Drosophila melanogaster: one gene and its partner. The protein of the gene in region 1 interacts with the protein of each later gene in a pairwise test. Each region holds a gene or a part of one and is shown on either strand. Other genes may lie near its edges.

Region 1 (4,734 bases):
CTTAGCTTCCCCATTTTTTTCGCTCTATTCTTGGCTCTTTGTTTGCACAACTTACACGTCTGTGATTTCGACAGAGCAAAAATAAACAAATAGTTGCATAAATAGAAGATATGATTTTCATATTCGTACACATATGTATATGCACGATTTTCTTTCCTTTTCTTTTTCAATTTTTTTTTTGCGCGTCAAACAGAAACAACTAGAAGAAGAAGATGAAGAACTTACCACTTGCGTTGTTGTTGCTGTTCGCTGGTTGAATCAGCAGCAGCTGAAACACAACAACACTGCCACTCGTTTCGCTCGTTCCACTTTTCTCACACGTTCCGCAGAGCGCGCGCAAAAACAACAACACAAACAAAAATCATATGTTTCAGCTGCTCGCTCTCCTACTCTCTCTCACTTGGTCTCTCTTTCTCACTTTAGCTTTTGTTGTTGATTTCCTTTATGGTGTGTGCTTTTCGTCAGTTGTTGCTGTTGTTGTTCTTAGTTCTTGTTTGCAGCTCCTCTTTATTATTATCTTCGGTTGTTGCAGGCGGCAGCAGCAGCAACAAAATCTCCAATTGCGTCTTGCTCTTTCTCTCTCTTTTGCTCCGTCTCCCCCTTATGTTGTGTTTATATGCTTCTTATTATTTTGATTTGCCACGCCCTCAAACTGTTGTTGCTTAATATTGGGCGTCTACTAATTAATTACAAGCTTTTTCGAGACGCGCAGCAAATTCTCAACTGCGGAGCTCGAGTTTTGTTTGAAAAAAACTGAACTATTTTTTGTATGTTTCTTCTTCGTCTTCCTCTGCCGCTGCCGCCGTCGACGCAGAGCCCTATTGCTGGCTCACTCCCACTCGCGTTCACAAATTCACGCACACGCACCAATACAGACACAACGACTGCGCTGCGTCGTACGTTTTACTTAAGTTTCCTTTTCGTCGTTTTTCGTTTATGATTTTGTTATTGTTATCGTTGTTGTTTTTTCTGCTGCTGTTGCTTACTGCCAATGTTGTTGTTCTTGCTGCACAAAAAGTAACTGCGACATTAAATCTGCAAAACGTTCGCCTTGTTTTCGTACTCTCCCGTTAACTTATATACATAGGTCTTTATATATATATATATGTATATATCGATTAAGAGACGATTTATGCGTCGCAACAGAAAAAAAAGAAGAAAATAACCAAGAAACTCTGCTGCCAGAACGAAAGGGAAAAAACTAGTACTAGCTGGTCTGACTGCTGGCGAGCGTTTGCCTTTATTCGTGCAATATCTTTAGCGGACACTTAGTATTATTAATTGTTATTATTTTGGTTGCTGCGCTGTTTCTCTCTCTGTTTTTTGTCTCGCTCTTTTGGTTTCTGGGTGCTATGCCAGTGTGACCGTGCAGCTGTAATATGAAATACCAAATTTTATATTACAGCATTCTGAGTGTGACCAGACTTTATATACGAGTGTATGTCCTTGTAACGGATAAATCTAGTTGCAGTCTATTTATTTAAAATATTAGCAAAGCAGCTTAATATGAATAGCTAACGGCTTTTAAAATATTAAAACACAACACCATATGCTCTGAAAAAACGTATAGTTTCACCACCGAATTATTCAGTAATAAAAGTAATTATTTTAATTAGTATTTTTTTTTTCATTTTCAAATTTGAGCTTTTGTAGCATTATTTAGTATCTAATTGCCCTAGGCCGGAACCGATTATTGAATTCAGACCACCGCCATTTGGCAACACTGGCGCTGCATTAGCGGCAAAAAAGATTAATTTGGCCATTTACGTTGGCGTAAAGTTCTGTCGCACAACAATTATAAAGCTCGACCAGCTGGGTTGGTAAGCGTTCATGATCGCTCCCGTTCGCCGCAGCATTACTCTAATCCTGTCCAGCGGCATATTTTTGCACAACAGCCACATGGCGCATTAAGTTTGTTGTTTTTCGAAATTCGCAAAATGTGTGTTTATTGCGGTTGTGCTTACGTGTGTGAGTGTGTGTGTGTGTGTTGGGTTGTGTTTTGGTATCCAGAGTGAGTTCATCCAAATGGGAAAAAAGGAAAGGAAATGAATAAAGTGTTATATGTTGAAAATAATATATTTGGGTCAAATCTGTGGGTTATGTGTGTGCGTGGGTGTGATTGTATATAAGGCACATTCGTTTTTTTCCTTGATTTCCTTTCGCCTTACTTTCGTTTTCTTTGCGCTTTCTTGTTTTGCTGCTCCGCATGTTTGTTGTTGCTGCTGCACGCGCTTCTTCTGCCGGCGCAACTAATTCGATTTATTTATAAAACGTAGATTTATACATGTTTAAATATTCTGCTCTAAACTAAAATGCAAAATAAAAGCATCTATCTATTCGCGCGCGAGCGCGTATATGATTGTGTGTGTGACCTTCGTGCAATTTTCCAATTGGGAAAGGGGAAGAGAACGAAGCAGTGGCGAAGGAGAGGATGGCAGCCGGAGAGCGAGGTCCTGCGATAATGCAATCAGATCGCCTGTGCATGCGTGTGTGTGTGGGGGTATTTTCGCAGCTTTAATTCAATTTCTCCGAGCAACAAGCACTTACGGTTTTAAAACAATTACACACGGGCACTTTTACAGTTTGAAAGCTTTGTAATCAGGCAATTTACCTCCTCCTTCCTTACCAAGCTCCTCCATATTTATTTGTTTTTTTTTTATGGTGTGTGTTTTTCTACTTTTCTATCGCTATGTCTTTTGCAGCACAAGAACGGCGGAGGTGGCGGCAGAGAGAAAAGAGTGAAAAACAAACCAAAAGACACGGCAAATCAGTCTAGTCAACAAAAGCAGACCAAATGAGCACGCACTTCGGGACTAACGAGCAGCACAAACTAAGCCAAAAATAAAGCTAAAGATAAAAGAGAGGCAGAGGCATCACACACACACACACACCCGCACGCACACACACTAGCACAAGCCATTACACTAAGCGAAACCGCATCGGAAATCGGCTTCAAGATGCGGGTAGTGGCCATGGTCAGTGGCGGCAAGGACAGCTGCTACAACATGATGCAGTGCGTCGCCGAGGGCCACGAAATCGTCGCCCTGGCCAATCTGCATCCCAAGGACAGAGGTGAGTCCACAACGATCACTTAGTCTTTAGCTTAAAGGATATAGAAAACGTACCACATCTCCTTTGTCCCACCATGATTTCATGACTGAATTCTGAAAGAAGGATCACATTAATGTTGATAGGCACATATGTATATGCTTTCAATTTGGATTCTTCTGACAAACAGACAGTGCCATTTTATTGGCACACACGATATTGGTATTCCTATTTGCACTATCATTTACCACCATTACGCCTTATTTGATCTCTCGCCGCTGTGCCTCTTCATCATGCATCTTCAATTTCCAGACGAACTGGACAGCTTCATGTACCAGACGGTCGGCCACATGGGCATCGAGATACTGGCCAGCGCCATGGGATTGCCACTATACCGGCGCGAAACCAAGGGCAAGAGCACCCAGACCGGCAAGCAATACGTGCCCACCGATGACGACGAGGTCGAGGATCTATACAGTCTGCTGGAGACATGCAAGGTGATTGATTGCTTAATGATTGGCCGGTTCCAAACTCAAACCCCAATCCCGAACCCCTTCCCTAAATTCTGATTAATATGGATGATAAGGAAAGCGGGGGAAAATCGACTGCAATTGCTGTGTTGTTGATACTCTTGTTTTGCTAAGCGCTCCAAGTTCCGTATATAATACATAATTGATTTTTAATATATATATGTATATATATATATATACACCGAAAAAACGAAAATGTTGCTCTAGACAGTTTAAAAACTATATTCGTTTCTTTTGAATCTTTACGTGCTTGAAAATACTATATATATTAGTGGGAAATGTTTTTTTTTTCTGCACGTAATAGTTTATAATTTTCATTCGTGAGCCTATCAGTGATCAGCGATTTGGTTCGTCTATCCGCGCTTGTTGTGCCATGTCCTTGGGCTCCTGGTCGTGCCCACTCATCCGCGTTCCAGCGCATCAATCAACTGCAGCCCAGATTGCAACTGCAACCGCAAACCACTCGGTAATTGGGTGGGCGCAATCGCATTTAAATATTCACATACTCCTATATGTATATGTATGTATGTACATACATCCATCCATTCGCGATGGGAAGGCGCCGGTGGGTCGGTGGGTCGATGGGTAATCTTATCGCGATGCCCAACCAATCAAGACGGGACGAACCGAACTGTTGCCGTGCACGTGAACCATTCCACCGGGTTAAATAAGTAAAAACAAAAAAGGAAAAAAAAAACACTCAAAATAGTGATACAAAAAGTATTAAGACCGCAGAAACCAAAACAATAACAATGCAAACCATGAGTATTATAATATATAATCATACAATTTGTTTTTGCACCATGATGGGGTGTGTTTACACTTTGGCAGGCCTTATAGGCATTATAGTATTATTAACTGAAGTCATTAGTATCAGTATCGCCTGCACTCACAGTGTAATTACATTTTTGCATTCGCTTAGCTGATATCGTGCATTACAATTTGATCAGCTTTGAGCTGATAGGAAATTAATTACGTTGAAAATATGTCGTATATAGGAACTAATAATAATTCACTAAGATAGTGGATTCTATACACTTTTTATTGATTATGACGGCATGCCCACGATGACTTTAAGATCAACTATTAGGTAGGGTTATTCCATTTTGGTTCTTATAGTTTTCCTTATCATCTTTTAAGCTCATTTATTGTTATA
Region 2 (5,170 bases), on another chromosome or scaffold:
TCAATAAATGAGACTATAAAAAGCGGCAGGAAAGCTGCTTTTGGCCAAGAGAAGCTTTCTCCGAGCGTTTCTGGAATATTCGTTGAAGTGCAGTGGGTGGCTTAGGGGAAATTGTGGTCAGCACATTCTCATTCTCAGTGGGCAAAATATTGAATATGATATAATATTGTTAGCAGAAGTCATCTCAATATGATATTTTATAATTAGCAATGTTTTTAAGCTATTTTTAAGTGAATATGCTATGGTTTTTTCAACTCTTTTAGATTATTTACAATTTTTAGACATAATAATCATTTTAAAAAATCTCATTTGAAAACAACGGGCATTTTTAATTTTAAGAATTAAAAGTTTTCCTTGAAATAAACCCGAATCTTTGCTGGGATTTTAGCCAACTGAATTGATAAAGCTTTTCCGCTGGCAGTTAAAAAAGCTGCATGCGGCTCAAAGCTGCAGTGGTTTTAGCCGCCTTTGTTGTTGCTGTTGTTGCTGGCGGGCGGCTTAGTGTGTCAGTTTAGTGGGTGGCAACAGTGCGAAGAGAGGGGGTGGCAAAGAGAGAGATATTGGGCCACAGCCGGCAAGGAAAATCTAAGCGCTTTTCCGCACTTTCGTGTGTGTTTTCTGTTTACATTCAATACGGGAGGCCCTAAAATGCCCAAAATTTTCCCTCGGGCAACAAGAGCGAGTGGAAAATTTTTGAGAACCATCATAAACAGCTGTTCGGGAAGCGGGGAAATAGATTTTCCGGTGGTGGTTTTTTTTTACCTAGGATCCAGTCTAATTGGATTTACCTGGACCAATTGGAGTGCGGCGGCACACACAAGTTTGAGCCTGTGCGAAAAATATAAAATCAATGCAGGAACAAGTGTGTGCGAAAATATTTATGACACCCACCCACTCACACGCTCGCACACACACACTTGCAAGCACACGCACACGTGTGACGTGTTTTTTCGTGTTTTCCCCTCGTCTTTTACTTACCACTGTGCTTGGTTTTTCCACGGTCGTTGGGTATTACTTAAAACTTAATTCGATTGATAGTCGTTCTATGCTGAGAAATGTTTCAAGCGCGTCATTTTGATCTATTTTTATAGTGTTTTTTTCGATAGACTTTGATTTTTTGCCTTTGGCTGCCAACTCGCCTGCGCTCCTCACTCTCTTTGGCTCTCTTTTGCACGGCTGTGTGTGTGTGTGTGTGTGTTGGTGCACTCACGCAGTTGCCTTCGTTGCGTAAATTATGCAAAATGCAGGCCAATTGCAATGTGTTTACAAAAACAGAACAAACGATCGCGTTAAGTGTGTTTTTTGCGATTTTACGAGCGCGTTAACTGGTCTCTGCGAAATACGCAAACGGTATGAACGTCAAAATATTGGCAGCAGCGACGAAAACATCTGCAGATGGGCTTACGAAAAATTCACAAACTGAGGCCAGTGTTGGGCAGCGGACGAAGGGCGAAATACCAATTCAAAGGGAGGCAAAATATACCGCAATGGTACTCTAGAAAATTCACGATTGTTTTGGTTTGTCCATAACTTCAACGTTTAAATAAGGTGCACTTAGAAAATTCTAGATGTTCACAATTTGTAAAAAAAATGTACACAAGCCAAAGTTATCTTAGTTTTATGAACAATTTTTCTGTATTCTTAAAATATTGTTTACATGTTAATTAGGATTTAATTACTTTGGTATTAGCTGCGGTATCTTAATACCACTACTTTTCAAACCTTCTGGCAACGCCATTTCGATCAGCTGTTTTCGTGGGACGCGCATGAGAAAATTATTGTTTGCGGCATTTCATGAAAATCGCGAAAAATGGTGACAAAAACGATAAAATCTCTGAATTTAGAGATCAATTTCGTAAGTACCATGAAATATATGTAAATCACAACTAACCTATCAAGTTTTTCACACACAGGAAGTGGAGGATGTGCCGTATGAGGAGGAAATCCTTCGAAACGCCTACTCCGTAAAACATTGGCTGCGCTACATTGATCACAAAGCGAAGGCGCCGAATAATGGTGTTAACATGGTCTATGAGCGTGCTCTGAAAGAGCTTCCTGGCAGCTATAAGATCTGGCACAATTACCTGAGAACTCGCAGGAAGCAGGTGCGCGGCAAGATACCCACGGATCCCATGTACGAGGAGGTCAACAGTGCCTTCGAACGTGCACTGGTGTTTATGCACAAAATGCCACGTATCTGGATGGACTACGGTGCCTTCATGACCTCGCAATGCAAGATTACCCGCACCCGGCACGTTTTCGATCGGGCTCTAAGGGCTCTGCCCATCACGCAGCACGGCAGGATTTGGCCACTGTATTTGCAGTTTGTACGCCGCTTTGAAATGCCGGAAACAGCACTGCGAGTCTACCGTCGATATCTGAAACTCTTTCCCGAGGACACAGAGGAATATGTGGACTACCTACAGGAAGCAGATCGGCTGGACGAAGCTGCCCAGCAGCTGGCGCACATCGTCGACAACGAGCACTTCGTTTCCAAACACGGCAAGTCCAATCATCAGCTGTGGAACGAATTGTGCGACCTCATCTCGAAGAATCCACACAAGGTGCACTCCTTGAACGTGGACGCCATCATTCGCGGTGGGCTGCGTCGCTACACCGATCAGCTGGGCCACCTGTGGAACTCTCTGGCGGATTACTATGTGCGTTCCGGCTTATTTGATCGGGCAAGAGATATATACGAGGAAGCCATTCAAACTGTGACCACCGTAAGAGACTTCACCCAAGTCTTTGATGAATACGCACAGTTCGAGGAACTCTCGCTGAACAGACGTATGGAGCAGGTAGCTGCCAATGAGGCGGCCACCGAGGAGGACGACATTGACGTTGAACTGCGGCTCTCACGCTTCGAATACCTCATGGAGCGCCGTTTGCTGCTGTTGAATAGTGTGCTTCTGCGCCAGAATCCGCACAACGTGCACGAGTGGCACAAGCGGGTGACACTGTACGAGGACAAGCCCGCCGAGATCATCAGTACGTACACCGAGGCCGTGCAAACAGTGCAGCCGAAGCAGGCGGTCGGCAAACTACACACTCTCTGGGTGGAGTTCGCCAAGTTCTACGAGGCCAACGGACAGGTGGAGGATGCTCGTGTGGTCTTCGAACGCGGCACTGAGGTTGAGTATGTTAAAGTAGAGGATCTGGCGGCGGTGTGGTGCGAATGGGCAGAGATGGAGTTACGGCAACAGCAGTTCGAGGCGGCACTCAAGCTGATGCAAAGGGCGACGGCCATGCCAAAGCGAAAGATTGCCTATTATGATGATACGGAAACGGTGCAGGCGCGCCTTCATCGCTCGCTAAAAGTGTGGTCCATGTACGCGGATTTGGAGGAGTCATTCGGCACATTCAAGACGTGCAAAGCCGTCTACGAGCGGATTATTGATCTGAAAATCTGTACGCCACAGATCATTATCAATTACGGAATGTTCCTCGAGGAGCACAACTACTTTGAGGAAGCCTACCGAGCCTATGAGAAGGGCATCTCTCTGTTCAAGTGGCCCAATGTCTACGACATTTGGAACTCTTATCTAACCAAATTTTTGGAGCGCTATGGCGGCACAAAACTGGAGCGAGCCAGAGATCTCTTCGAACAGTGCCTGGATCAGTGTCCTCCCGAGCATGCTAAGTACTTTTATTTACTGTATGCTAAGTTGGAAGAGGAGCACGGTCTCGCCCGGCATGCCATGTCGGTCTATGATCGTGCCACGTCTGCTGTCAAAGAAGATGAGATGTTCGACATGTACAACATATTTATAAAGAAGGCAGCCGAGATCTATGGCCTGCCACGTACCCGCGAGATCTATGAGAAGGCCATCGAATCGCTGCCCGAGCAGAATATGCGCCACATGTGCGTTAAGTTTGCTGAGTTGGAAACGAAGTTGGGCGAAGTGGATCGAGCTAGAGCCATCTATGCTCATTGCTCACAGGTATGATAATATATATAGATTTCTAATGCATCACTTAATCTAATTATTGTTTGCATTCTTCAGGTTTGTGATCCCCGCATCACTGCAGACTTTTGGCAAACTTGGAAGGAGTTCGAAGTGCGTCACGGCAACGAAGACACAATGCGCGAAATGCTGCGCATCAAGCGCTCTGTGCAGGCCACTTACAATACGCAGGTGAACATGATGGCCGCCCAATTCCTGAGCACAAACAACGGAGCGGCTGCGGATGCTGGAGCAGGAGCTGGACCGGATGCCATGCGATTGCTGGAGGAGAAAGCTCGCCAGGCGGCAGCCGAGTCCAAACAGAAGCCCATCGAGAAGGCGGCCTCGAATATTATGTTTGTGCGCGGTGAGACTCAGGGTGGTGCTAAGGATAAAAAGGATACGGTCGTCAATCCTGATGAGATCGACATTGGAGACAGCGACGAGGACGATGAGGAGGAGGACGACGATGAGGAGAACGAGATGACGAACGAGAATCAGGCCAGTGCAGCGGTCACGAAAACCGACGAGGAAGGCCTGGTCATGAAGAAACTGCGCTTCGAACAAAAGGCCATTCCAGCCAAGGTCTTCGGCAGCCTCAAGCCCTCAAATCAAGGCGACTCTGATGGAGAGTAAATGTTTATACATATATATGACTTTTTTCGGGGTAAATACATGTATGTCGAAAGTTTTACAATTGTAATTGATCGGTTTTTATGTTCTGGCCTCAATTAGATTCTTAAATGGTACTTTGATATTAATTGTTGTCAAACGAAGGGGGCCTGTTAGATATTGTCTCCGTTTTGGATGATCTAGTTAGTATAGCCTTAGGCCAAACAGAGGAACACACTTTCAACTGTCATTCCAAAATTGTTAGGCACTTCGTGATCTAAAAAAGCTAACCAGACGTGCGCAAGGGCGGACTAACCAGGACTAACCACACACCGTGTATCTCGAAGATGGCATCCACACGCATGATCAGTGCTTTTACGCGCAATCCAAGATTATATCAACAGGTCACGGCACCCTGGAAATCGTACAATCTGTTTGGAACACCACTTTTTAACCACAGACTTCAGCCAGCGGATTCTCAAATCTGGAGGGGATTAGCAGACAAGTGTGACAACAAGACTGTTATCAAGGGCGTGGTGGTGGGCGTCTACTCCAAGGAGGGCGACGGTAAGGAGGTCAAGATGACGTCCAGCGGCGAGAAGTTCGACGAC

Evidence for each region.
Region 2: the proteins of CG1578 (region 1) and fand interact in a two-hybrid assay, tested with the Drosophila melanogaster proteins (one large-scale study listed by BioGRID).

What each region holds. Positions count from the first base shown.
Region 1 is NC_004354.4:11,813,508-11,818,241, reverse strand, and holds the start of CG1578 (uncharacterized protein), read left to right. Parts: upstream 1-1,690; 5' UTR 1,691-1,816; exon of another isoform or gene 1,817-1,820; intron 1,821-2,498; exon of another isoform or gene 2,499-2,702; 5' UTR 2,703-2,957; coding exon 2,958-3,072; intron 3,073-3,360; coding exon 3,361-3,545; intron 3,546-4,734.
Region 2 is NT_033778.4:13,591,916-13,597,085, forward strand, and holds fand (fandango), read left to right. Parts: upstream 1-1,728; 5' UTR 1,729-1,810; coding exon 1,811-1,855; intron 1,856-1,913; coding exon 1,914-3,944; intron 3,945-4,007; coding exon 4,008-4,583; 3' UTR 4,584-4,642; downstream 4,643-5,170. Other genes in the region: S-Lap5 (Sperm-Leucylaminopeptidase 5), read left to right, coding at 4,907-5,170. UniProt on the Drosophila melanogaster protein: Subunit of the NTC(Nineteen)/Prp19 complex, which is part of the spliceosome. The complex participates in spliceosome assembly, its remodeling and is required for efficient spliceosome activation. Essential for efficient pre-mRNA splicing.